Astyanax mexicanus: one gene and its partners. The protein of the gene in region 3 interacts with the protein of the main gene of each other region in a biochemical or structural test. Links are inferred from orthologs where the notes say so. Each region holds a gene or a part of one and is shown on either strand. Other genes may lie near its edges.

Evidence for each region.
Region 1: the proteins of lrrk1 (region 3) and flt4 form a complex in vitro, tested with the Homo sapiens proteins (2 studies listed by BioGRID and IntAct, with this or other methods). The link is inferred for Astyanax mexicanus from reciprocal best matches to the Homo sapiens genes LRRK1 and FLT4.
Region 2: the proteins of lrrk1 (region 3) and foxp1b form a complex in vitro, tested with the Homo sapiens proteins (2 studies listed by BioGRID and IntAct, with this or other methods). The link is inferred for Astyanax mexicanus from reciprocal best matches to the Homo sapiens genes LRRK1 and FOXP1.
Region 4: the proteins of lrrk1 (region 3) and fgfr2 form a complex in vitro, tested with the Homo sapiens proteins (2 studies listed by BioGRID and IntAct, with this or other methods). The link is inferred for Astyanax mexicanus from reciprocal best matches to the Homo sapiens genes LRRK1 and FGFR2.

The regions. Positions count from the first base shown.
Region 1 is NC_064417.1:66,125-73,563, reverse strand, and holds the start of flt4 (vascular endothelial growth factor receptor 3), read right to left. Parts: upstream 3,026-7,439; 5' UTR 2,775-3,025; coding exon 2,717-2,774; intron 1-2,716. UniProt on the Homo sapiens protein: Tyrosine-protein kinase that acts as a cell-surface receptor for VEGFC and VEGFD, and plays an essential role in adult lymphangiogenesis and in the development of the vascular network and the cardiovascular system during embryonic development.
Region 2 is NC_064412.1:2,033,459-2,040,863, reverse strand, and holds the start of foxp1b (forkhead box protein P1-B), read right to left. Parts: upstream 3,016-7,405; 5' UTR 2,922-3,015; intron 1-2,921. UniProt on the Homo sapiens protein: Transcriptional repressor. Can act with CTBP1 to synergistically repress transcription but CTPBP1 is not essential. Plays an important role in the specification and differentiation of lung epithelium.
Region 3 is NC_064423.1:9,982,313-9,989,317, forward strand, and holds the start of lrrk1 (leucine-rich repeat serine/threonine-protein kinase 1), read right to left. Parts: upstream 3,019-7,005; 5' UTR 2,869-3,018; intron 1-2,868.
Region 4 is NC_064414.1:11,917,898-11,924,958, reverse strand, and holds the start of fgfr2 (fibroblast growth factor receptor 2), read right to left. Parts: upstream 3,015-7,061; 5' UTR 2,291-3,014; intron 1-2,290. UniProt on the Homo sapiens protein: Tyrosine-protein kinase that acts as a cell-surface receptor for fibroblast growth factors and plays an essential role in the regulation of cell proliferation, differentiation, migration and apoptosis, and in the regulation of embryonic development.

The DNA of each region.
Region 1 (7,439 bases), on a different chromosome or scaffold from region 3:
TGTTTTTAATCACCAGTATGGTAACATAAAACACATTGCAGTGAGTGAGCCGTTCGACGAAAGGGACAAGTGGAGGATTTTCCTTCTGAGACTTAAGATAAATATCTACTCCAACTTTCATGTAGGAGATTCATTGCTGTGAGTGTTTTTACATGTTTTTTTTTTCGATTACCATGTTTATTGCAGCAGTTCCCTGCGCTGTTTGATTTTGAGGATGATTTTAGAAACCAAACAAAACTAAAATGGTAGAAATGTAATATCAGCCAGCTCAGGGGCTAAATGTTGCCCATTTGAGGAAATTGCATTAAAGGACAACTCAGGCTTACTTGAAATCAATAAATGTGGACAACTTCTTCTGCAGCCCTAGGCTCTTTTCTGTTGAACAGGCTTTTGTTTCTGATTAAATAACAATCATCTCTTTTGTCCCTCCAAGCTGCAATTTTCCCATTTTTGCCTCAGTTAAGGTTAGTGCTCGGTTAAATAATTGGGGACCACTTCTAATAATTGGACCCAGTCTTCACTACAAGAAAATCTTGGTAGCCTAGGCAAATTCCCTGCGCCACCAAGATTCCATGTGTTATTTATTTGTGGAGATGAAGATTATGGAGTTTAAGGGAGAGACATATATCTGGGGTTTTTATGGCTCTGGATTCCAAATGTTAAGGGAGGACATATTTTCACATAAGACTCCACCCAAGGTGCAGGGATTCTGGAAAACGCCTCAGCAACACTTCAAGTTCTCCTCAGATGCCTCATGGATCTCACTAACTGACACCTGTGATGACGGCTGCTTTCTTAGCTTAATTTTTACTCAAAATTAATTGAGATGAACCTTCCATACCAAACACTAGAGCACCACATCCTTCAGAATGCTTGAGTTTGCTATAAGAATATTCCCATGTTTTGATTCCTCAGATTCTGTGGCTTTTGTCATCTTAAATGGTCCTCTAGATATTATGACTGGCAGACATCATATTCCTCACAGAGGTGGGCTATCATGCAGATGAAAATACTGCAATTAAAAACACTCATGCATGATTATCATAATGAACAGAACTGACATATAACCCAAAGTCAGCTTGAACAGAGTGATCCCTTATGTAACAGAAGCCAATTATAATTTCTTGAAAGAACAATAAAGTCACTAATGAGGTGAAAAGTGAATAAAGGCTGTATTAGGGCTGTTTTCCTGTTGTCGGTAACTGATGACTTTAGCAGACCAAGTGCTGTTCTGTTGAAAAGAGCATTTTAAATTAAAGTGTGACTGCTGCTGCCAAAACTTGTCAAATTGACAAGTGGATCTGACATGGATGCTTGACTTGCAGACTTTCAGGTAGGCCTTCCTGACAGTGCTTAACATGCCATGCTCTAACCAATCTACTTCACCTTTAAAGCTGCACAATCTGATGAAATCTACTCCATTATCCTTAATCATCTAAAGGCTTTTGTGGCTTGTTACCATAATTGTTAGATTAATTTAAAGATAAACATAGACAGAGAAGATGCTCTGTGGATCCAAATATTCATTCATCCTCTTCTCTGGACCATCACATAGATGGCTAGGTTCCCAATATATATGCCCGCAAGTATGCAAGCAAAGATTTTGGTTGTTAAGTATGGCAGCTTGCTAAGCTTAGGAGGGAAGCATATGAGCTGCATTCAATCTCAAATTACCTTTAATATTAGCAATGACATCTCATAAACTGTGGCCAGTGCACCAGTGTCCAATAACAACAAACTGTCTACTGCTACTGAGATGCTGCACTAGTTAATAATGATGGACTGCTGCCCAAATCAGTTTTTTGTGTGGCATTAAGCTGCAGTCCATGACAACTTTTATCTCTGAGTGACAAGTTAATGTAAAAAATGGTTTATCAATTTCACCTTATAAATATTAATTTAATAGGATTCAATCGACTCAAATCTAAGTGAAATATACTCTTATTGACTACTGATTCATTCAGAATATAGTGGTGCCCGACCTTTTTGAGTGTTTTATATTTTTGCATAATTTAACCTACAACTTCTACAGATTTTCTTAAAACAAGTCCTAAAATGAGGTAAAAAGATCCAAATCAAACAAATCAGACAAAATGTTATGAATTGTCTATAAATTAACCCATTGTACCTTCCAAGCAACTAAAGGAGAATTTTCATCCATATAAAATTGCTGCATCCCAAAATTTAAAAAAAGAAAACTTATCCATCTGTGAAACACAGTGGTGGTAGTGTTATGGATTGGGTCTTTGGGCAAGGATGGCCTCTTATCATTTATGTAACAGTGGATTTGGACTAAAGCCAGTTCTGAAGGAAAAAGTCAGAACACCTGAGCTAAGAATGTGGGTCATGCAGCAAGACAACAACCCTAAGAAATAATCTGACTAAAAGTTTAATATTTCTATCTAATATTTCTGCCTTATTTTTGAATGTTTATTATCTTTGTTTTCTTTCAGCACTTTTAGAAGTGGCAAATATTTAAAGGGTTCCCACTTTTAAACATCTCTGTAGTTAAACTCTAAAACTGTAAAATAGACCAGAGTCTACATTTCTGAATTACTGAATTTTACACAGAAGCTCACTATTTCTTGAAAAAAGCAACATTAATGAGAAAATTCAGTAAAAACGCGAAAAAAACATACTGACCACACACACACACACATACACACAGCGGTTATCTGCAGCCTGTGTTGAGAGTTATCTAGGTAAAGTTTCTCACCTGAGAAAGAGGCGAGCCCGATCCAAATCCCACAGAAAACCCGGCTCTCTCTCTTCATCTCCGGATTTAATCTCCTCAATTTAAACTCGCGGGTTTTCTCCGCGCGGCGCGGGAAACTCCTCAGGTTCAGGTGTCGCGCGCCTCTCTCTCCTCGGCGCGGGAAGAGCGGGAGAAACAGCGGAGTAAAAACACGCAGAAACACGAAATTCAAGAGGACCTGAGTGGATTTACTATCATTTCCCCCCTTTCCTCCCTCCCGGACTCAACTCCCACCTCCTGCATAAACCGATCTGAGGGCAGCGGCTCAGACTCGGACCTTCAGGGTAGAAGTCTCCTCCTCAGACCAACTTCCCTCAGATAAACTCCCTCAGATTAACTACCTCAAATAAAATACATCAGATAAACTCCCTCAGATAAACTACCTCAAATAAAATACACCAGATAAACTTCCTCAGATAAACTCTCTTAGATAAACTCTCTCAGATAAACTCCCTCAGATAAACTCCCTCAGATAAACTCCCTTAGATAAACTCTCTCTGATAAACTCCCTCAGATAAACTCTCTCAGATAAACTCCCTCAGATAAACTCCCTTAGATAAACTCTCTCTGATAAACTCCCTCAGATAAACTACCTCAGAAAACCCCCCTCAGATAAACTCTCTCAGATAAACTCTCTCAGATAAACTCTCTCAGATAAACTCCCTCAGATAAACTGCCTCAGATAAACTCCCTCAGATAAACTACCTCAAATAAAATACCTCAGATAAACTCTCTCTGATAAACTCAATTCAAATTTACTTGATTGATTAGTCAGACTGACTGATTAGTCAGAAACCGATTTTGTGGATTGTTTTACTGACCATCAGATCAGCCTTTCCTCCAAAAATTGTCAGCTACACCTGTCTTTAATTTCAGTGCTGAAATGTTCCCAATGGACTGAAAATTTGATAAAGAGTATATCAAAATATTAAATACTGAACCTTTATATGAGCCTAATATTAGCACATTGGATGCATCAATACAAAGAATCGGATAGTTTTGGATTAATATTGAATTGTATTACAGAAAATCTTGTTATATTTTTTTCATATAAAGTTAGGAATATTTTTGTATCGTTTTGTTGTACTATAATTAATGTGTTAAGTTTCTATTATAGCTTGAATGACTTGACACTATATCTTAACAGTGTATCCCATTAGCCATGCTAAACTTAGGGCTACATGTATCTTAATCATAGAATACTACAGATATTCAGTGCATTTGAGGTGTAGAAGTCATATTTTTAAATCGCAATAGTCTCATATTTTGTGATAAATATTTTTGTACAAACCACCATGGGCAAAAACTAACCAGTTTAGATAATTTAGATGGGAGTATATTTTCATATTTGAACATCACTAACACACCGTCCGCAAACACGGCCACAACAAACCAGCAATGCATATCAATGTATTTCTTTTTAACCCACATTTACCAAAAAAGCTTGTTTTCAAGACCAGTGATTGCTTAGCCACAGTGAGAAACTCTTAAATCTAAGATTTCTATCTCCCCTAAAGCTACATGCCTTAATCAGTGTCTTGTGGTTTATTCTGCATATGTTGTTCTAACAGATCTGAAATGCCTCCATTTCAGAAATAAGAACGTATCCTGGCACCTCCATAAAGGACAAATATATAAAGAAAATCCTATTTGTACAGATAATGGTTGCTACATTTGCCTAATAGACAATTGCCCTGCAGCAGAACTCCAAAAGTCTCCTATACAAAGCTGTGTTATAAACACTTAGGTCATAAAATGTAATGCAATATTGCCACTTAATCTAATACATCTGAGACTCTTTGACAGACACAATTAGCATTGCCAGAAGGGTATTTGTTAAGGAACCTTCAAATCAAGAGCTTTCTTTTCTTTCCATTTCCCTGCTCCTGTTTTTTCTCAGATTCTTGGAAACTATTCCATTCCATCAAGACATACTTTTAAAAAAGGCCTACTTCTAAATATTAATCCCATATTGCTCTGAAAAGCCAAATACTCTTGGGAAAACAACCATGATACTAAACTCCCAGACCATGTACAGCAGCTGTGCTGACAAAACCACAGTTTAATTCAGCTTGAAATACTGCTCTACTTACAAATGTCATACAGAAAAAAGATGATTCCTGTTATTGGCCCCAACTGTCATCAGGTCCCAACCATTATACCTCTCGAGTTTTGGCTGTATGTCTTGAATTGCATTTACCAACAGCTGGCCCAGAAAAAAAATTTGACACTTCGCCATCTGCTGGGTTGGATTGTAATGGAATACAAGTACTGGGAATACGTACTGAGAATACACAAATTAACTACTTGTAGTCAGCCCATGATTTGTTTTGAAAAGCAGTGTTCAGAATATGCTGGGCAGATTTACTTATTTTCAGGGCCTTGTTAAAAGACAGGATTTCGTCCCCTAAATGGACATTTTTAAATGCATTCATTCAGGTTCTCTTGACTTATACCTTATAACACGCCTTGGCTATTTATTGCCCCCACACAAAAAAAAAACCTACACACCCAGTGATCTCCTGTTTTCATGTTCAAATAAGAATTGCAATTGTAGGCAGTGGGGTCACCAAAAGAACTATTATTTTTATTATAGGTGTCTGACGTTCTGAGCTATCGATACCATCATTAGGAGGCAGATGATCACAGACATCCAATCTTTCATTTTACAGATTATACCTATCTTCCGTCTAATCAGCAATGAGAGGACCATTTAACTCTCAACTTCAATGAGAAATCTCTTACTTTCAAGATTTAGCTCGGGCTTTAGAGCTACATTTTCTTGGTAAAATGAAAAGTACATGGAAACTCAAACTGGACACTGATTTTACAGAACAATAAGAAAAGACATAGGCTTCAAAGTACAATGTAAAAAAATCTGTAAAAATGTTTTATAGTCCGGCCTCCCTGCTGCCACATAAAAATATATAATTTTACGTAAGTTACAAAATGACAAATTTGATTCATTTTGGTAGGTGTGAATACAGTAATAACACACAACTAAACCAAGACCAGGTGAACACAGTTAGGTCTCTAGTGAACTCTAGTGAAGTTGTTTGTTTAGTGAGAAGGTGAAATGGATTTCTTCTTCAATTGTATTTATTGCTTCTGCAATAGATCAACACATGCTGCATTGAAGTTGCAAGTTTATGTCCATGTGTGCGTCTGTGTGTGTGTGAATAGCGTAGGTGTTAATGCAAAGTCTAAGTACACTTGTAGGTTAGGTTGCTGTTTGTTATTCATTGTTTGTTCATTGTTTGTCATATTTCTGTCTCAGATTCCTCAGATGGCTCTGCATCAAGAACCCCCAGTCAACAGCCGATACAACAAAGCAAGCAATTCCTTTTGGCAAACATTTATCCAGAGTTACATTTACAAACACCACCTAAACTTCACTGTCCAAAACACAAGCTTTACCTAAACCAAGCCAAGAAATGTCGTCAACATCTTTAGGCTTGGAGGATCCTGAGACTGACCATCAAAGAATAGAAATATTTATTGTGTTCAGTTTAATCAGTATTTTTTATTGGAAGAAGTGGATATTGCGTGTTTCAGACTAAAGACAAGAAGGAACATTCAGATGTATCAACAGCAAGTCCAAAAAGCTACAATCTGTTATAGTATGAGGTTGTGTCACAGTACATTTATGTGGGGACAGCATTAATGCAGAAAAGTATATAAAAATTTTAGATCAACATATTCTGTTTTTCAGACATATCTACTGTTCAAACTGTTCAACGCTGCCCATCTGAAAGTGATGCATGTCTAGCTCTCCTAATTGGCAATTATTAGATATAGTCATTTTCACAGATTGCAGACGACAACATATTTACTTTCTATGAACAGAAAAAAAGTTTATTTCCCATTTGGAGGAAACCTTAAAGACTCCTCCAATTAACCTGAGCAGGGTCTTCTTTTGAGTTGGGAATGAAGGAGAGGGAAAGAAAAAAGAGATAAAAGAAATATCTGTAAGTTTTTTTTTTACTCTTAGATAAAAGAGATTTACAGCAAAAAACAAACTGATGATGCCTGTAACCATGTTTACCCCTTTCAGTAGTTCAGGGTGTGTGATCTGAAAGGTAATAATGGTGAAAATGGATTAGACTAGACACTAATCATTACCAACGACTGCAGAAAATATGGATGCCATTAATTTCTGATCAATAGAAATAAAGAAATAAATCTCACAGCCAGAGTCCGACTCCCGACACCTTCTGCTAAAACACACCTAAGCCTAAAGAAAGATTTTCACACTGCATCAGTTTGTCCATTAACTGTAATGTTATAACAGTAAAAGTACAGTTCATATATTTTATTAAATATTAAAAGTATGAGTGAAAAATTATTTCATACACTCAGTGTCCAAACTATAAATATTATATAAACATTATTAGAAATCCAACAATAAAAATACATCACAGGAAGTTACCTGAATGAATCAGGTGTGTGTTAAATTTGTGATCCTCCCATTTCACACTGTGCTCAATAAGACTGACAACTTTGCACATTGTCAGCTGATCATCAGCACTTTCTAAACAGAACAGAAGAAAAACAGAACAGCACAAAAATGCTAATTATTATTTAGCTGCTGCTGCTAAATTTTGCTTTATGAGTTTTATTCAATGTATAGTTTTGTACCAGTTGTTTAATTAGTTATGTTTAAATAAAAATAATGATGGGGAAT
Region 2 (7,405 bases), on a different chromosome or scaffold from region 3:
AATATATATCACAATGTTTCAGGATGTTTTTGCGATAACAATATTGCAACGATAAATTACTTTATTATTATTTTACTTTTATTATTAGTATTATTATTATTAGTAGTAGTAGTAGTAGTAGTAGTAGTAGTAGTAGTAGTAGTAGTAGTAATACAAATAATAATAATAATAATAATAATAATAATAATAATAATAATAATAATAATAATAATGTTTTACTATAACTACAAGGGTTTTATACATTCAGTTAAAACAAAAAAAAATAAACATCGGTCTGTTTCATAAAAGCATAAGTGTAACAAAATAAAACACCTCCTTTACAAAGGCAGTGTTACAGGTAACACACAGGCTACAACTGCTTTACAACCTTAAAAACTTAAAGGAAGCATTGCATATAACACATATGTACTCAAAGCCACCACTTACTTAAGTATCTTAAGTAATACACCTCCTTTACCAACTTAAACTTTACAAACTTAAGGGCAGTGTTAAACACAACACATAGGCTCCACTTCCTTTACAAACTTTACAAACTTAAGGACAGTGTTAAACACAACACATAGGCTTCACCTCCTTTACAAACTTTACAAATGTTTACAAGTTTTCACAAACTCAACAAACTTAAACTTTACAAACTTAAGACATTGTTACATGCAACACAGAGGTTACATCTCCTTTACAAACTTACAAAATTAATGGTTACAGGTTACACACAGGCTACACCTCCTTTAAACATAAAGGCAGTAATATACGTAAAACACAGACTACACCTCCATACAACACATAGGCTACACCTTCTTTACAAACTCAACAAACCTTGCAAACCTAAGAACAGTGTTCCACATAACATAGTCTACACCTTTCCAAACTTTACAAACTTATGGGCAGTGTTACATGTTACACGTGCCAACTCAAGGGCAGCGTTACACATAACACACAGGCTACGTCTCCTTTACAAAATAAAAGTAAGTGCGGTGCTACACTTTACACACATGTAGTCAGACACCACACACCCCTCCTTTACAAACTCAACAAACTTTACAAACTTAAGTGAAGTGTTACATGTAACACAACAGGCTCCACTTCCTTTCCAAACTTTACAAAGTTATGGGCAGTGTTACATGTTACACATTGCACATGCAAACTTAAAGGCAGAGTTACCCGTTACACAGTCTACACCTTTACAAACTTCAAAAACTTAAGGCAGTGTTACACTTTACACATATGTAGCTAAAGCCACCACTTGTAAGTACCACACATGGGCTACAACTCCTTTACAAACTCAACAAATTTTACAAACTTATGTGCAGTATTATTTGTTACACACAGGCTACACCTCTTTTACCACCTTAAACTTAAGGGCAGTGTTACATGTAACAATCTACACCTCCTTTACAAACTTAACACACTTCACAAACTTAAGGGCAGTGTTACACGTTACACATAGACTACACCTACTTTACAAACTCAACAAATTTACAAACTTAAGGGCAGTGTTACATATAACAGTCTACACCTTCTTTACAAACTTAAGGGTAGTGTTACATTACACTTTACACACATGTAGCCAAAGCCACAACACACAGGCTACACCTCCTTTACCAATTTAAACTTAAGGGCAGTGTTACATGTAACAAGCTACACCTCCTTTACAAACTTAACACACTTGACAAACTTAAGGGTAGTGTTACACTTTACACATATGTAGCCAAAGCCACCACACACAGGCTACACCTTCTTATACACATATTTAGCCATAGCAACAACACATATGCTACACGTCCTTTACAAACTTAAACTTACAAACTTAAGGGAAGTGTTACACCTCCTCTACAAACTTTACACACTTAAGGGCAGTGTTACACGTTACACATATGTAGCCAAAGCCACCACACACAGGCTACACCTTCTTAACAAACTTAAACTTACAAACTTAAGGGCAGTGTTGCACGTTACACATAGTCTACACCTGCTTTCCAAACGCAACAAACTTTTCAAACTTAAGGGCAGTGTTACATGTAACAGTCTACACATTTATTACAAAATTAAGGGTAGTGTTACACTTTACACATATGTAGCCAAAGCCACAACACACAGTCTACACCTGCTTTACAAACTCAACAAACTTTACGAACTTAAGGGCAGTGTTATCTGTAACAGTTTACACCTCCTTTACAAACTTTACATGTATGTAGCCAAAGCTACAACACATATGCTACACATCCTTTACCAACTTAAACTTACAAACTTAAGGGCAGTGTTACACCTCCTTTACAAACTTCACACACTTAAGGGCAGTGTTACACGTTACACATATGTAGCCAAAGCCACCACTCATAGGTGCCACACAGTTTACATCTCCTTCACAAACTCAGCAAACTTTACAAACACAAGAACAGCGTTACACACAAGCTAGATGTTACATGTTACAAGTTACTAGTTGCACGTGCAAACGGCTGCTGCCAGCAGTGCGCGTGGGGTTGATTTACCTGCACAGTAACTAGTAGAGCGTGCACTGAGAGTGTGTGTTGTGCTTCATGCATGGTTACAATGTGTCTCTGTAACTTTGTTTAGCAGCGGTTCGCTACTTTGATCTGAGCGGGTAACTTGTGGATCAGACGGCAGAATCAGTCAGAGTCTCGCGGGACTGAACTCGTGCAGTTTTATCTGTTTAAAGCGGACAGTTATCTCGTTCCTGCGCTAAAAGAAGGAACTCGCGTCCTGGCGCGCGCACGCGTGTTTGTGTGTTTGTTTGTTTGTTTGTTTACTTGTCTAGTTTCCTCCTCACCTTAGAAACAGCGCGCGAGCGCAGGTACAGCAGCGGGGCGCTCGCGGAGCGACGGGACAGCGGAGCCGCGCGCGCGTTACACATAAAAAGAGAGATAAAAGAAAGTAGAAACAATGTATCTGTTTGAACTTACCGCAGCAGCGCGCGCGGAGGAGACGCAGGAGTTAGTAGTAGTAATAATATCAACTATCGGCACTTCTTCTGCAGCAGGAGCGCGTGCGCTGGCGGAGCACGCTGTAAAGTGCGCGGCGGTATCACTCCGCGCGGAGGGACTAACTAACCGGGGTCTGCGGAACTCCGGGTCTCCCCGCGGTACCGAACCGGCGGATTTACCGCTCCCCTCTCTCTCTCTCAGCGCCCTGAGATAAAACAGAGAGATAGAGAGTGATAGAGAGAAATAAAGCAGCGGATTTATATTTAGTTATTTCTCCATTCTGCTGCTGCTGCGAAGTCTGACTGACGTCACATCCACCTGCTGTATAAACATTAGCAGCTCCTGATAACATCTAATAAACCTTCATTACATCTGATAACATCTACTAAACCATTTCTCTGAGATACAAACATAAATTCTGAGATATTATCTCAAAATATTAAAATAATGTGACATTTAATAAACATGAATTACTTCCACTTTCATGTACTAAACCATTGTTCTGAGATACTAAATATAAAAAATGAGATAGCTTCTCAACATAATGAGATAGCATCTGAAAATATTGAGTTATCTCAAAATGTCAAAATTATGAGCTAGTGTCTCAAAATGATGAGATAGCATCATAAATGAATGACTTAATGCGATCTCTCATAATTTTGAGATACTATATTAGCAAAATACATCTTCAAACAGTCCATTATTATCTAAAAAGAATTGAGACAGCATTATAAATGATTGACCTGTTATTTCAAAATAATATCTTAGATTCTCAAAATAATGAGATCATAATTTTGAGATACTAAGTGATTCTTTGACAATGATTTTTGCAGACTTTGTATTTCAAAATAATGAGATAGCAATTTACTTAACAATGAGAAAATATATACCACCCTCACCCCTCCAGCATCGCCTCCTCCACCCTCACCCCTCCACCCTCACCCCTCCAGCATCGCCTCCTCCACCCTCACCCCTCCAGCATCGCCTCCTCCTGCATCACCTCCTCTAGCATCGCCTCCTCCACCCACACCCATCCTGCATCGCCTCCTACAGCATCACCTCCTCCACCCTCACCCATCCACCCTCACCCCTCCAGCATCGCCTCCTCCTGCATCACCTCCTCTAGCATCGCCTCCTCCACCCACACCCTTCACCCCTACAGCATCACCTCCTCCACCCTCACCCCTCCTGCATCACCTCCTACAGCATCGTTTCCTCCACCCTCACCCCTCCAGTATCGCCTCCTCCACCCTCACCCATCCTGCATCACCTCCTACAGCATTGCTTCCTCCACCCTCACCCCTCCTGCATCGCCTCCTCCATCCTCACCCCTCCAGTATCGCCTCCTCCACCCTCACCCATCCTGCATCGCCTCCTACAGCATCACCTCCTCCACCCTCACCCCTCCTGCATCACCTCCTCCCTCATCGCATCCTCCACCCTCACCCCTCCTGCATCACCTCCTACAGCATCGCTTCCTCCACCCTCACCCCTCCACCCTCACCTCCTCCACCCTCACCCCTCCTGCATCACCTCCTCCACCCTCACCTCCTCCACCCTCACCCCTCCTGCATCACCTCCTACAGCATTGTTTCCTCCACCCTCACCCCTCCTGCATCACCTCCTCCCTCATCGCATCCTCCACCCTCACCTCCTCCATCCTCGCCTCCTCCACCATCGCCTCCTTCAGCATCGCTTTCTCCAGCATCGCCTCCTCCTTCCTCACCTTCTTCAGCATCGCCTCATATTAATCTTTATTTAAAAACATTGCTATCTTATTGTTTTGAGATACTAAATCATTATTTTAGATACTATATCAGCAAATTACATCTTAAAACAGCCAATTAGTATCTCAAAATAATGAGACATCATCTCAAAATAATAAGATATTATCTCAAAATAATAAGATAGCGTCTCAAAATAATGGGATGCTATAGTACAAATAGTAAGATATTGTCTCAAAATAATGACTTTTTATCTGAAATCAATGAGAAAGCATCTTAAAAGGAGTGTCTCAAAATAGTGAGATATTGTCTCACAATAATGACTTACTATCTTAGAATAGAGAAATCAATGAGATAGCATCTCAAATTAATTAGAGAGTGTGAAAAAAAGTGAGATATTGTCTCAAAATAATGAGAAATCATCTCATAATAATGAGATATTTGCTCAAAACAATGAGAGAGAGACAGAGAGAGAGAGAGAGACAGAGAGAGAAAGAAGATCTCAAATCATTTTCAAGAGCTTTCACTTTTCACATATGATTTAAATTAATTGTCCAAACAATAAGTTTGTGTTTGTAAGGCTTTTTTTTACAACAAAGAGCTAAAAAAACTGCACTAATGCACTAAAATACAATAAAATAAACCCTAAAAATGGTTAATCTAACATATGATGAAAGCTTATTGAATGTAAAAACACTTTTCAATTTACAGTAGAATCTTTAACAGACACGGTTTAATCAGAGTTAAATGATTGTATTTATCTATATTCATTTGGGTAGAGTTAAATAAAGAAGTTTAGTGCAGAACTGTAAAATGAGTTGATTCCAAAACCCTTAAACTGTGAGGTAACAGTCTATAGACTCTTTATATTTACATGTACAGTACCAGTTAAAAGTTTGGACACACCTCTTCTCATTCAATGTGTTTTCTTTCTTTTTATGATTTTTCACATTGTAAATTTAATATTGAAGTCTATATTAAAGCTCCACAGAAACATTTTTAATAATAAACCAGAATATGTTAAAATTATACTTTAGATTCTTCTAAACAAGTATCATATTTATCTTTAAGGACAGATCTGCAGACTCTTGGTGAGATTTTAATCTCAGTGTCTTCCTGAGGGAGAGTCACCTGGAATATTTTTCTGAGCGTCTTGAAGGAAGGAGTTCCTGGAGGTGCTGAACAATAGTTGCTGCTTTTCCTTCACACTGTGAAGCTCCAGCTCCTCCCAATTAAATCACCTCAAATCACCATCTCAGTTCATCAGCTTTAGATCAGGAGATTAATGTGGAGAAATAAAACTTTTTTTACTGTTTACTACATAATTTCATATAAGTCCCTTAATCGTTTTTAATGTCTTTAATATTAATCTACAATGTAGAAAATACATTAAATAAAGAAATAAAGAAAAACACTGAATGATTGTTGAAATAGTGTAAAGAAAACAAATATAAGGTTTTACCAAATTGAAAACCTCTGGAATATAATCAAGAGGAAGATGGATGGTTATCCAAAAGCAGTGTGTAAGACTGGTGGAGGAGAACATGATGCCAAGATGCATTAAAAAAACTGTGATTAAAAACCAACCAGGATTATTCCACCAAATATTGATTATTTCTGAACTCTTAAAACTTTATGAATATGAACTTGTTTTCTTTGCATTATTTGAGGTCTGAAAGCTCTGCATCTTTTTTGTTATTTCAGTCATTTCTCATTTTCTGTAAATAAATGCTCTAAATGAGAATATTTTTATTTGTAATTTGGGAGAAATGTTGTCTGTAGTTTATAGAATAAAACAACAATGTTCATTTTACTCAAACATAAACCTATAAATAGCAAAATCAGAGAAACTGATACAGAAAATGAAGTGGTCTCTTACTTTTTTTCCAGAGATGTATATATATATATATATATATATATATATATATATATATATATATATATATATAGATTATATTATATCAGTTTGAAATTTGAAGATTAGAAATGACGAAAATGGAGATACAATATTTTTATGTGAAAGAAACCCAGTGTAACAAAGATGTCCTTGCTCAAGGTCTAAAAATCCACTAGTGAATGATGTTGATGGTATATAAAGCTAATGGTATATAATGCTGATGGTATGTATATACTGTACTGTAAGCCAGCATGACTGCAGTCCTGTTCCTTCCGCTGCAGAATTGCAGGTTTGAGGCTCTTTCACAGGTAGATAGTGCCACCAACTGGTACCACTGAATAATAATAAAACAGGAGCTCAGAAATTCAGAGATCACTTCAGTTTCTGAATCAGTTTCTCTGATTTTTCTATTTATAGGTTTATGTTTGAGTAAAATGAACATTGTTGTTTTATTCTATAAACTACAGACAATATTTCTCCCAAATTACAAATAAAAATATTCTCATTTAGAGCATTTATTTACAGAAAATGAGAAATGACTGAAATAAAAAAAAAATTAAAAAAAAAAACACGCAGAGCTTTCAGACCTCAAATAATGCAAAGAAAACAATATATTCATAAAGTTTTAAGAGTTTTCATGCTTGATCTTGGCATCATGCTCTCCTCCACCAGTCTTACACACTGCTTTTGGATAACTTTACGCAGTTCAGTTTGGTGGTTTGATGGTTTGTGATCATCCATCTTCCTCTCGATTATATTCCAGAGCTTTTCAATTTGGTAAAATCAAAGAAACTCATAATTTTTAAGTGCTCTCTTATTTTTTTCCCAGAGCTGTATATATA
Region 3 (7,005 bases):
GTTCATTTTTAACTGAAATAAAGTAGCTTTTCAAGGACATTCAATGTTCAGGCATCAGTGAGAAAGTTGAAGTTGGGCCGGGGCTGGATACTTCAACAAGACAACGACCCTAAACACTAAACACTGCTTAAAATCGACTAAAGCATTCATGCAGAGGAACAAGTACAACGTTCTGGAATAATCATCTCAGTCCCCAGACCTGAATATTATTAAAATCTGTGGTGTGATTTATTTTTTAAGAGGGCTGTTTATGATCAGAAACGATCAAACCTGACTGAACTGGAGATGTTTTGTAAAGAAGAATAATCCAAAATACCTTCAACCAGAAGCCAGACTCTCACTGAAAAAAGCTATAGGAAGAGTTTAGAGGCTGCATTTTCTGCATAAGGAGAATCTACTAAATATTGATGTATTTTTTTCTGTTGGGGTGCCCAAGATTGTTGCACACTTTCTGTAAATCCTATAAACTTCATTTCATTTCTTAAATATCACTGTGTTCACCCGCTATATGATATATTTAACTGCAATTGCTGATTCGAACAACCAATGATTTATAAAGGAAAATCATAAAAATTATCAGGGGTGCCCAAACCTTTTCATACAACTGTATATGCTGGACGTTCTATGTAGCTGCATTAATTGTTTGTTCAACATTAAGCTTGGTGGAAAAACAGTATTTGTTTTGGGTTTTTTTTTTTACCCTCCAGTTGTTTTCGTAGGCCACTTTCAGTCCTACTGGTTTAGCTAGTACTACAGTACAGTACAGCTTCACTGTAACCCAGTGTGGTTGTGGCTGGTGTACTTCAAATACTGCAGCCACCAATCTCTGCTTTAATAGCTATAGAGCTAGGTGTGAAGTGTGTGTATATCTAAAGGTGTGAAAAAAGACACAAACAACAGCAAAATTACGGAGCCCGGGAGGGGCCGTGGATAAAAAAAACAATTAAATCGAGTGAACGATGTAGCAGTTCGTGCTCACGTTTTCTTTAATTAGAGTGAACGATTTGCAATTCGTGCTCACGATTTCTTTAATTCGTGCTCACGATTTCTGTAATTCGTGCGCACGATTTCTGTAATTCGAGTGAACGATTTCTGTAATTCGTGCTCACGTTTTTATGCGCAATAAGACAAGAAGCTCGGAGGGAAAGGAGCATTTTCTCTCTTGATCTGTTACAGGGGTGCAGTAATGATAATCAGTTATCTACCTTTATAACCTGCTGTTATTAATGCACTAGTGTTACAGTTAGATGTACAGTACAGTGAGCAGATTTTGCCTGGTGGTGGAATCTCTACAGCGCGTGGGGGAGAGCCGTCCGCGGCATCGGTTCCCCCGCCGCCAGACACCTGCCGCGCGCGCAGGTCTTCACGGAGCTTATTTACCAACAATGTAGACAAATACAGTCAATTCCAGTCATGATTAAAGGAAACAAACATTACTAATGCAGGATAACTGTGTGTTATTAAAACCAGATCAAAACAAAGTTATAATGCAATGTGGAACTGTTTATAATTTCTTATTTTCAACAATAGTATAACGTAAAGAAGTATAATTATATAAATATACAGCTATAAGACTTAGGTCCAAATGTACACTGTAAAAGTTAATAAAGATAATACAAAATTAATGCAAGGTGTGACAGTTGTCTATGAATGGCTCATATAAGAGCTGCTTTAAATATGTAACACTATATAAAATCAAAATAGCTGGTCTAAAATACTATTAATACAATGTATTAAGATATTTAGTAAATAGGCATTTCATATAATAATTTGGATCAATTTGATAATTTATTCCAATATGTTTCCTAAAATAATTAAGTTTCTATATCTGATGAAATGTCCTGAATATCTGCTTATTCTCAAATCACAGTGTCCTGCCCAGAAACATGCCACAAGCTTCAAATAAAAAAAATATAATAATTATAAACTTCTTAAATGTATATTTTCTGAATTATGTGTTTATTTATTATACAAATTATTAAAATATAGATTAAATCTATCATAAAAGTAATAATGATGTAACCAGATTTAAGAAGGTGTGCATTTCCTTGGAGGCTGGCTGAATGTTATTTAGAAATTAATAAACACATTTGCACATTGCATTATAACTTTGTTTTGATCTGGTTTTAATAACACACAGTTGTCCTGCATCAGTAAAATGTTTGTTTCCTTTATTCATGACTGGAATTGACTGTATTTGTCTACATTGTTGGTAAATAAGCTCCGTGAAGACCTGCGCGCAGGGCAGGTGTCTGGCGGCGGGGGAACCGATGCCGCGGACGGCTCTCCCCCACGCGCTGTAGAGATTCCACCACCAGGCAAAATCTGCTCACTGTACTGTACATCTAACTGTAACACTAGTGCATTAATAACAGCAGGTTATAAAGGTAGATAACTGATTATCATTACTGCACCCCTGTAACAGATCAAGAGAGAAAATGCTCCTTTCCCTCCGAGCTTCTTGTCTTATTGCGCATAAAAACGTGAGCACGAATTACAGAAATCGTTCACTCGAATTACAGAAATCGTGCGCACGAATTACAGAAATCGTGAGCACGAATTAAAGAAATCGTGAGCACGAATTGCAAATCGTTCACTCGAATTAAAGAAAACGTGAGCACGAACTGCTACATCGTTCACTCGATTTTATTATTTTTTTTATCCACGGCCCCTCCCGGGCTCCGTACAAAATAGTGAAACAAGACAAACAATAAGATACAGCAACTGGATAGAGCAGTACACTCTGTCCAGCAGTCGTAGTTAGTCGTAAACCCTGCTTTAAAGTCGTGTATTACACTCAGTCAGCTTCAGCCACGCTGTAAATAACTCCCAGCTTTAATAAAGTCCAGCAGCAGCAGAGCTACTCACCGATATTCCGGCTCCATAAAGCGCAGTCTGAGCTGGTGTGGAGAAAGTAAACAGCGTGTATAAGCGCTGAGCTCCAGTCTGAGACATCCAGCGTGCTGCTCTCTGATCCTCCAGCCGCCTGAAGGACTTCCTGGTGCAGTTCAGCAGGAGCGCAGAGCTCAGACAGAGGGAGGGATTACACTCAGATCTCAGCCATATAATCCACCCTTCTCAATCCGTGTATCATTCGTTCATTTGATATTCAATTGAGAATCAAAATCGGAAAATTAAAAAACCAATTCGTTTTTTCGTTTTTTCGTTTTTGAATATAATACCAAAAAACGAATAACGGCTTGTATTTTGTATTTTTATTTGGTTATCCAAACAAAAATTGGAAATTTAAAAAACGGACCAGGAGCCGAATTTGATTTTGATTTTGAACTTGACCCATTTGTGTGCCCCGGAAGTTACTGATTTGTTTATTCTTGGTGGGTTTCTGTTGCGCGGGAGTTCACTGCAGTGTTATCTACACAGTCTGTATTGCTGTAGGCTTTGGATGGAGTTGAGGATGGAGAGTTTTATCTTGTTCAGAGGAACTAAACGCGTTGCAGTGAAAGAAGACGATATGACAACAGAAAAAATCGGCAGGATCTTTCAGGTGTTTGTCTAACGTTCCGTAGCTAAATGTCATATTTAGTTAATACCTTCAAAAAGATCTTTAATTAGGCCAGAATGTGGTTCCAGTCCGGCCATGCTGCCTACAGCAATACAGACTGTGTAGATAACACTGCAGTGAACTCCCGCGCAACAGAAACCCACCAAGAATAAACAAATCAGTAACTTCCAGGGCACACAAATGGGTCAAGTTCAAAATCAAAATCAAATTCGGCTCCTGGTCCGTTTTTTAAATTTCCAATTTTTGTTTGGATAACCAAATAAGAATACAAAATACAAGCCGTTATTCGTTTTTTGGTATTATATTCAAAAACGAAAAAACGAAAAAACGAATTGGTTTTTTAATTTTCCGATTTTGATTCTCAATTGAATATCAAATGAACGAATGATACACGGATTCTTCTCCCATCATACTCCTCACTCCTCCTGAAAAAATATTAAATATTTATTTAGTCATTAAAAAATCCTTAAAAAAACACATTTATGTACTGTTTAGACTTTAAAAAATAAATAAAATCATTAATTAATAAAATAGCAAAAGTGTCTATTTGAAAAATATTTAAAAAATATTTTTTTAAAGATCTAAACACATTTAAACAAATAAAAAATATGAATACGTATATTTATTTAGTAAAATAGCAAAAGTTTCTATAAAAAAAAAAAAAAATATATATATATATATATATATATATATATATATATATATATATATATATACTTTTTTAAAGACCTAAACATATTTAAACAAATAAAATATGTTATATTTATCGTATATTTATTTAGTAAAATAGCTAAATTATCTATTTAAATTTTTTTAAAATATATATATTTACGTTTTTAAAGACCTAAACATTTTTAAACAAATAAAATATATTAATACATACATTTATTTAGTAAAATAGCTAAAGTATCTATTATATATATATATATATATATATGTATCTATTATATATATATATATATATATATATATATATATATATATATATATATATATATATTTACTTTTTTAAAGACCTAAACACATTTAAACAAATAAATAAATATTAATACGCATATTTATTTAGTAAAATAGCGTCTAAAAAGTGTATATTTTAAGTGTCCAGTGCAGATAAAAAAAAAAGGATTTATTTATTTTTAGAATATATTACTGTAACTATTTTTCAAGAGACTTAAACACATTTACATTGTGGTTATATTTTTAAAAAACTGCAGCGAACATTTTTTTTATATTTTATTCTATTTTATTTTTTAATTCTTTTTAAAATCTCAGCAATTCAATCCACCTCTTTACTAGCTCACTTCACACTCACACTCATATTATACTGCTTCAGCTCTCAGACTGCGCTCAGTTTAGAGCTTTATGACCTGGAAAAGCAGCGAGCAGAATCACGGAGCTATTTACAGAGAGCAAGTGCTCCAACACACACCATGTTTAATAGATGTAAACACTACATTTAGGTCTTTAAAAATTTTTTTAGACTTTTTATAATAAATAAATTAATGTAGTATATTAGTTAGTAAAAATAGTAAACATGATTATTTTAAGTGTCCACAATTTAAATTAAATATTAAAATTAAATAAATAAATATTTATTAATGTATTCATTTATTTAAAAAGTATGTAAATGTGTAAACATATTAATGTGGTGTTTAGACTTTTTAAAATGAATAAATAAATATTAATAGGTTTATTTAGTTAATAAAATAGCAAATATGACTATTTAAAAAATGCCCAGTGCAGATGAAAGAATAATAAATATGCATTTATTCATTTAAAAAGTCCTAAAACACTAGTCCTAAATTCATCTAATGTTTAGACGTACATACTTTAATAATAAATTAATGAATAAATAAATTTTGTAAAATAGCAAAAGTGACTATTTTAAAGTGTCCAGTGCTGATAAAAAATATAAAATATTTATTTTATATTTTATTATTTAATTATTTATTTATAGTGTGTATTTATTTTATATAAAAAAGACCTCAACACATTATACAGTGGTTAGATTTTTTTTTAAATCTGCAGTAGAATGTTTTAAATATTTTTATTCTATCTTATTTTTTATTCATTTTAAGTCTTTTTATTCCTATATCTATTAGCTAATAAATCGTTAGCTAATGAGTGGGTTGGTATCTGTCGTCGGTGGTTGAGCCTAAATAAAACAAATGAAAACAATGATAGGATATTAATTGATGATCCTGGAGGTTCTTTTCCATCTCCAGCTCGTCCCTGTGTGCCTGCAGCCGAAACCTGTTTCTGATCTTACCAGGTAACAAAAAATCCTGTTTTCTGATTTGTCGATTGTTCACTAATTCAAGCTCGCTGTAGCGCATAAGGCCATGTGTGGAGTGTGAACTTGTAGAAAAGACATGAGAGTCCTCCTCTGCCTGTATTTCTTGGTCCGGGAGGTCCAATTTTAGAGATTTACCTGTTCCCAACACACTAGATCCAACTGATCAGGTAATTAAAAGCTCGTTATTAAGGTCCGTGTGTTAAAGAAGGAAATCTAATAAAATAAAAAATGACCTGAAAAAAAACTCTGCCTTATGTTGGTTAACCATTGAGTTTCTTGGTCATTTTGGACGACCAACGTGGCTTTGCTTCACATGCTGGTTTACCAGTGTGGGGAGGAGGGTCATGTTGGTTAACTAGCATGTTTAAGCTTGGTCATACTTGTTTGTGGGGTTTAATCAGGTTGATCGTATTGATAGACCAGCTAAATCAGTGTTTTTCAATCCTGGTTCAGACACACCCTGCCCTAATCATTTTATTGCTTTACCTCTTACAAACACACCTGATTCAACCAATCAGCTCATAGACCACTGAAGTCCAATCCTTTTTTTTTGTAAAAACTTGCCTCTACCACATTCTGTGGTAAATAAATATGTTCAGAACCCTGTACATTTTATTATGTTTTACATTTACCTCCTGAACATCACTGGATCCTCTAAATTTCGAGATCGTTTAAGGGTAGTAATTAGAAAAATGCTAACTTTAAGCTAATGCTTAACTAAGGTCACAGCACAGCTGCAGGGAGTGGCAGAAGACTCGATTCTGCACTACACCAGCGAACTCCGCCCGGATCGCATTTTGGATTATTATTCTTTAGAGAGGAACATTAAAGCATTTAAACAGGTGAAACACTTTCAGTATGGTGATGTTGAGCAGTGTAGCCTCTGTGTTAGAGATTTAAAAGGCAGATAATAAGAAAAAGTGAGCTTTAGCTGTTCAGTGATTTAGTTCAGGAGCTGCTGCAGGTAATTCACACATTGCGCAAGGAAAAAAAAAGCACCCGAGAAGAGAAAAATTAAGCTTGAGAGCAATATTTTCTTCAGCGCGCACACGGTTCCCTTTTTTTTGCTAGTTTCACATTTGTGCTCACGAGAAGTTAATTTACACACGCAAAATGTTAAAAAACGTTGGTTATTTTTTTTCACCTGGTATTTTTGCGCCCCCGACTTGTATTTTTAGGCCCTCGA
Region 4 (7,061 bases), on a different chromosome or scaffold from region 3:
AGCTTAAAGAAGCTCTTTATCTACTAATATCTACTAATAGCTAATTATCATCTCTCTCATTACCTGTTGCTGACGTGTGCAGAGATTAAATCTGCGTAAATTTAGCATTTCTTTGCATGGCAACATTAGTTAGCAAATGCAGTGAGTTTATTTCACTGTATCTTATCACATGCAATAACATCACAACCATTTTTGACAAGATAAAAAAATAATAGCGATATTTTGAAAGCAGTTTATTCTATTTACTTTAAATTTTTTGTTTGCAGTTTGTATGCATGCACTATATTGGCTTTCTTTGTAGTAGATTTCTTTATTTTTATTAGGTATCATTTAATACAAAATTAGAAGTGTCTTGCTAAGTTTACAATTAGATAAAAATGTATAGACTTTTTTATTTCTACTGCATGTACTTTAACAACTTTATTATTTCTTGTGTTGAGGTAGTATAATCTTGAAATTTGTTGTTGCAAAAATGCTTTGAAGTATTGTGATTATTTTTTAGAGCCATATCACCCACCCCTACACCCCTCATTGCTTTTTTTTTTTTTATGTACAGTTTAGGTACTTTTTAATTTATTTGCGTAAAAAACAAAGCCGTTAAATCACTAGCTAACTATTGACTAGTTTTCTCCTGCTTTTAATTATAAGAAAATAATCTAAAGACGTTAAAGCTCATCACCATCATCCCTTTCACATTACAATCACTCAGTGCCAGTGCATTCACAATCACAGATTTACGATCCTGTTTTTATGCAAACAATGCATTTAGGTGTCGGTAAATGGGCAATCTGTTTAAATGAGATGAATGAATGTCTCCACCCACTAATATAATGTTTAATCTTGTGTCTGACCAAAGTTTTACTGGGTTATACTGTTATTTTCTGACCTAAATTCATTCAATTCTGTTTAATTTAATAGAGTTGCTTTTTAACATAATGAAAAAGATTATAGATTATTGCTACTAAACATTCCAACACAAACTACACAACGCCCTTTTTGAATCAACTTTTATTATTTGTTAACCTCTAATGCACTAAAAACAACGTTTTCTGATTCAACATCGATTTAACATTGTTTTTATTCAACTTTAACACTCTTTGCTCTTGCAGTGCAGAGAGGGCCATTTAAATAATAATAATAATGATGAACCTACTATTATAATAAATATTATTATAGATATGACTTGTGAGGTGCACCTTTAGCCGCATGTAAGCACTGTGAGTGTAGTCCTGACCATTCAAAGCCTTTAGCTAAACAAACGTTGATTTGATGTGAAATAAAGGTTGTTTAGCTAAAAGTTGCTTTTCTTTGTATCATCAATATTAAAATAAGATGTCATGCAGCCCAATTTTTTTTTTTTGCTATCAGGGTTGTGTGAGAGCAAAAGTGTCCCAACTATCCTAAGTCTTCAGCTAAACAAACATTGATTCAATGTTAAACAATGGTTGTTTTGCTTTTTTATCATAAACATCAAAACACGTAATACAACCCACATAAAAATCAAAGTGTATTCAATGCTTTTTGTTTTAAGCTTTTTAAGTTAAATGAACATTGATTCGATGTCGAAAGTGAGGTTGTTTAAAGTTTATTTCACTATTCAAAGCCGTTCGCTAAATAAACGTTGATTTGATGTTTGATAAAGTTTGCTTTTCTTTTTATTGTCAACACTTAAAGTAGATTTAATACAACCCACATTTTGTTTCAGGGTTGTGAGTGTAAAAGTTCCCCAAGCATTCAAAGCCTTTCGCCTATTAAACGTTGATTCAATGTTAAAATAAAGGATTTTAACTATATAACTTAATACCTGTTTGTATTTCCATTATAAACATTACTAAAAATAAAAACAATGCAATAAAACTAAAAAAAACGTCTATTGAAAGCTTTTCGCTAAATGAATGTTGATTCGATGTCAAAGTGAGAACACAAATGCATAACAGGCATATTATGTTAAACAATAATTTAGGGTCAACAGGTTGTTTAACGTTTGTTTATCTTAATAGCACTATTCAAAGCCTTTCGCTAAATAAACGTTGATAAATGTTGATTTTATTTCCATTAACACTAAAAGATATAAACTGTAACGTTTATTCGATCAACGTTTATTAAACGTTTAGGGTAGCTGGGCTTAACTAAAACAGCAGGCAGGCAGAGCGCCCGGGACGTGTTGTCCACATCAAGCCACGTTTCAATCACGTCTTGCGCTAAAAACATGCGGGCGCGCGGGCGCTCAGGCTCCGCCGCTGTTTGCGCTCCGCGCGCTGCTCGATAACTCTGCGGCCCGAAAACTCACCGCTAAGTTTTGAGGATCCCGATCCGCACAAACAGCGCAGGCAGGCGGGGGCATATGGGCAGACTGATGATATATATCCAAACTCCGCTCCAAACCCCTCAAAAAAATAAGAAAAACTCCGCTGAATCGCCCAGTCTTCACTATTCCAAAATCACTGCCAGCCCGGATCCGTATCCAGCAGCAGCGAACCAGTAAATCCACTGTAAAACTCCAGTAAAACACCGATAAACACCCAGAACTTTCTGTCTTTCTCCGTTAAGTCCGTCTCCGCAGAGTCGTTCTCGTCTTCCTCCACCTCCTAAAAAAAACAACAGCCCCCACGGTTCTCCAAGGCTGGGGGTAAAGCGGAGTTTTAGCAGCCGGAGACGGAGCGCCTCGCCCGGGTATACATCCTGCTAGACACGGTCCGCGGACAGTCTCCTGCTGCTTTTCTCAGACGCTTTTCTCACTCAGGTTTAGGCTACAGGCTCTTCTTCTTTTTCTCCTTCTTCTTGCAGCTCCCTCACTCCTTCTCTCTCTCCCTCTTTCTCTCCAGCCCCTCAAGAAATGTCACTCCCCCCTGAAACCCGATCCGTTTCCTCACTGCAGTTTTTTCTCGCTCCTCCGCCAGTCAGTCCTGAGCGAGTCCAGACACTGAGCTGAGCTGAGGTTCCTCCGCGGTGCTCTGCCCGGGTCTGCTCTGCTCTAAACCCCTCAGCTCTGCTCTCACTGAAGACCTCCTCCTCCTCCTCCTGTTGCTGCTGCTGCAAAAAAACTCGAACTTTTCACCAGTGGGAGAGAACCTACCCCTCCCCCAGAGCAGCAGCACCAGCAGCACACCACACGCACTATTTTCCCCGAGAAGCACGCCGCCTGTTGGCCAGCCTGAGCACACCGCGCGCATTGATTTTTGCTGCGACTCCCTCATCCGCGCGCGCTCGGACCTGCAGCCCCGCTCGCTCACTGAGTTGCGCCGTTTCAAAGTATTTTGGGGCCCCAAGCAAAACAGGTCCCCACCATGTAAACCCACCTCTATCCCATAACAACTAACAGACTGCCTGACCAAATTAAAAGTCTGCACGCATTTGGAGTGGCATTGTTCCAATAAGCTTTCCACAAGCTGTCACAAGATTTATTTTAATCCAGTGTTGCTTTAATTTTTTACCAAGATCTTGCAGCAGCATTGAGGATGGTAGAGTCTGACCTCTGCACAAAGCATCTCTTCTCCATCCAGCACATCCCAAATATTCTCAGTGAGGTTAAGATCTGGACTCTGTGGTGAACTTTCTCTCAATCCATGTGGGAAAATGATGATCTCATGCTCCCTGAATCACTCTTTCACAATTCCAGCACCATGAATCCTGGAAATGGCATCTTGGAATATGTCCGTTCCATCAGGAAATTAAAAATCCATTGATGGAATAACCGGGACTATATTCAGTATATTCAGGTAGTCAGCTGACCTCATTCTTTCAGCACCTACTGTTGCTGAACCTAGACCTGACCAACTGCAGCAACCTCACATCATTTAATTAAATCCGGGTGGTGACTTTTTTTTGGCCAGGCAGTGTATAAAAAAGGGCAAAATAACTGTAAAAGCCAATATATTTAAAAAAATGTGAACATTAACTGTTAATATTAGTTTCAGATGTTTACACTTAGCAGAAATACAACTTAAAAACACCCCATTCTAATGTTACTTTTAGAACAGGTTTAAGCATTCTGCTGTTTAAGAATTTGAAGGCATTGAACAGCTGACATGTATGGATACTACTAAACTTATTCCAGTCTGGTTATATGATGCACAGAATTATCATAGGTTATTACAACTCAAAATTTGGTAGATAGGTAATCACGATTAAAATGTTAAAAAAGTTAAAGGAGAACTCTGGTGTAAAATTGACTTTTGGTGTAGTAAAATGTGATAAGGAGTACTAACCTTTGTTGAATAGGCCACCTCTATTCTTTTGCAGCTTTCAGAGATCATGTAATTTTATTTCCTTTGTCCAAACATGCTTTAGAATAAATGATATGGGGCATATTTTGTCCCTGCAGATAAATCACTTTTAACACCATTATCCAGGCTCATAGTAGCTTCACACCTCATTGGTAGAATCTGGAGAGCCCTGACATTTAAAACAAGGCATTAATAACTTTCAAAGAGCTTTATCATGTTTTACTACACCAAAAGTCAATTTTACACTGGAGTTTTCCTTTAACTATTGTAATGTTTATTGCAATGTCATGTTATACTATAAACAGTGAATCTAAAACAGATTTTCATTATCCTGTTAATATAACATTACAGTATGTAACCATATTATCAGCCCTTTCAACTAACTTGTTGCACTGGCTGTTCTAGTTCATTACTAGCATTGACTGCCAGGCTGGTAGGTAACATAAACATCATCCATATATTGTGTTGCTAATCTACCTTACAACATTTGTATGTGTGGGCCTCATTGATCCAGTGTTAAATATCACTTAACACTTATTTTCTTATCACATGGCTTGTTTTCTCTTTCTCTTTTTTTGATGGATAACTCCACTTCATAATCACTGAAGTTTCATATTTTGCTAGCTGCAAGAATCACAAGCACGGCTGACTGGCTACTGTCAGCAATTAGTGGGAGGGGCTCCATTGAGGGGGATTCTAATAACAGTGTTGTTTTACTTTCCTGCATTGACCATCACAGAATTTAAAGGGGTGCTCACATAGTTTGCCTTGCATTTAATTCACAACCAGTTGTTATCTGGGGGCCCCAGGCCAGCTCGGGGCCCTAGGCAATAGATTTGTTTGCTTGCCTTGTTGCAACGGGCCTGTCACTGAGAATAATCATGACAGCCATGCTGAAACAAGACTGGCTGGAACACAGGGGTTCTGAACCTCAGGGGAAGGCATCGGTTGCAGGGAGCTGGTAATGGCACTTTATAATGTTCAAAGTGAAAAAATGGCCAAGTAAGTAAAAATATATAGAGAGATCATTTGTGATCAAACTATAGCTATATAATAAATGCACAGTTTGCTTAATGCATAATGTCGGTCATTTAAACTCTTTTAAAAAGCAGCAAAACAGACCCAAACTGAACCAATAGTACTGTCTACTATTATCTCTCTTGTTACTTGTAGCTGACGTGTGCAGAGATTAAACCTGGGTAAATTTAACATCTTTCTTCATGGCAACTTTTAAATTATTGTAAGCTTTTTGTTTTTGCCATTTTCCCAAAATCGGGTTGGAAAATTAAATGTTTGATTTTGGTCAGACTGAAGTCCGATGTGATTTTGACACTAAAAATCAGCACTAAAAGTCTCAGCCCGGCATACACTACACAACTTACAGTCCAACTGTCAGCTCCCACTATACCAGAGTCTACAAACTAGAGACTACTAGCACAGACTCACCACTACTGGAAATTGGGGTTGAAATCACGCTTAAAATTGTGTTGTTTAATTTTAACCAGAGTTGCGGGAACCTTGCAAATGAAGAAAGAATGTTCTTTAGAAAAGCAAAAAAAAATAGTTTTTACTGTCAGTGGAATAGATTGAGAAACCAAGAAAGACTGAGAAACCATTGACTAATATACTGTATATCAGTTGTGAAGTTGTAAAGAGGTAGAGTTGGTATACAGTGAATAGCTCTATTTGAGTAACGTTCTAATCCATATTATGGCAAGAACTTCTTAACTACTGTAAAAGTATCATTAAGTGCAGTCACAAAGACCATCAAAAACGTTATGATGAAACTGGCTCTCATCAGAACCACTCCTGTAATGGAAAAGCAAGAGTTACTTCTGTTGCACAGGATAAGTTCATCAGAGTTATCAGTCTCAGAAACTGTAACTTAACATCATCCCAGATAAGAGCACCTAAAGTATTTTGGTTTGTTTAATACTTTTAAGTTTCTACATTAAAAGTAAAAAGTAAAACATTGAATGATAAGATTTATCCAAATTTTAGACTGGTACTGTATATAGTACTATATGAGTAAAACTCAGTTTGGATCATTTTTATTTGTTCTTAAGTGAAAAATGCCAAAAAAAGGGGATACAATGCATTTGCCCAAATCTGCTCCAAGATTGGAATGAGTTTATTTTATGTTCCATAGAGCATACAGTCTCTACGTGCAGCGCCTTGTGGGTTTCTTCATGGGGTCTTATCTCCAAGCTTTAACGCTGAGGTGGGGGCAGATTGATTAATGATCTCTAAACGTCAGAGACAGAGGGGGCCCCCCTACTGCGCTCTCTCTCTCTCTCTCTCTCTCTCTCTCTCTCTCTCTCTCTCTCTCTCTCTCTTTCTCGCTCTCTCTCTTTCCAAGCTGTCTCTTCCATTGGACAGGGCCTTTTCAAGGACCACCCCCCTCCCACCACAAACCCCTCACCCTTTCCCCTCCAAAAAAATTTTTTACTAAAAAAACGTAGTGGGTTTGGGAGAGGAGGGAGCAGTGGCTAATATGCTTTCACCTCTTATTTTCTCTTCTTCTTCTTCTTCTTTTTCTTCTCCCCCTTTAAGAAAGCCTGCCTGCTTTTTCTTTTTTCAGCCTGCAGAAAAGAAACGTCCTCTTTCACTTGGTAAGGGACGGCTAATAAGGCTGTTAAAGAAAGTGAGAGGCTGCTGTGTCAATGGAGCCGTCCATCTCCGTTCTCACTCGCTCTCTCCCTCTCTCTCTCTTTCATTCATTTTCTTTTTCTCCCCCCTCCATTTTCTCCCCCTTCCCGGCCCAGTAAAGCCATCAGAGACTCAGTAGAAAAGGTGACAGCTTGGACGGGAGTTGGAGGGTGTGGGGAGTGAAAA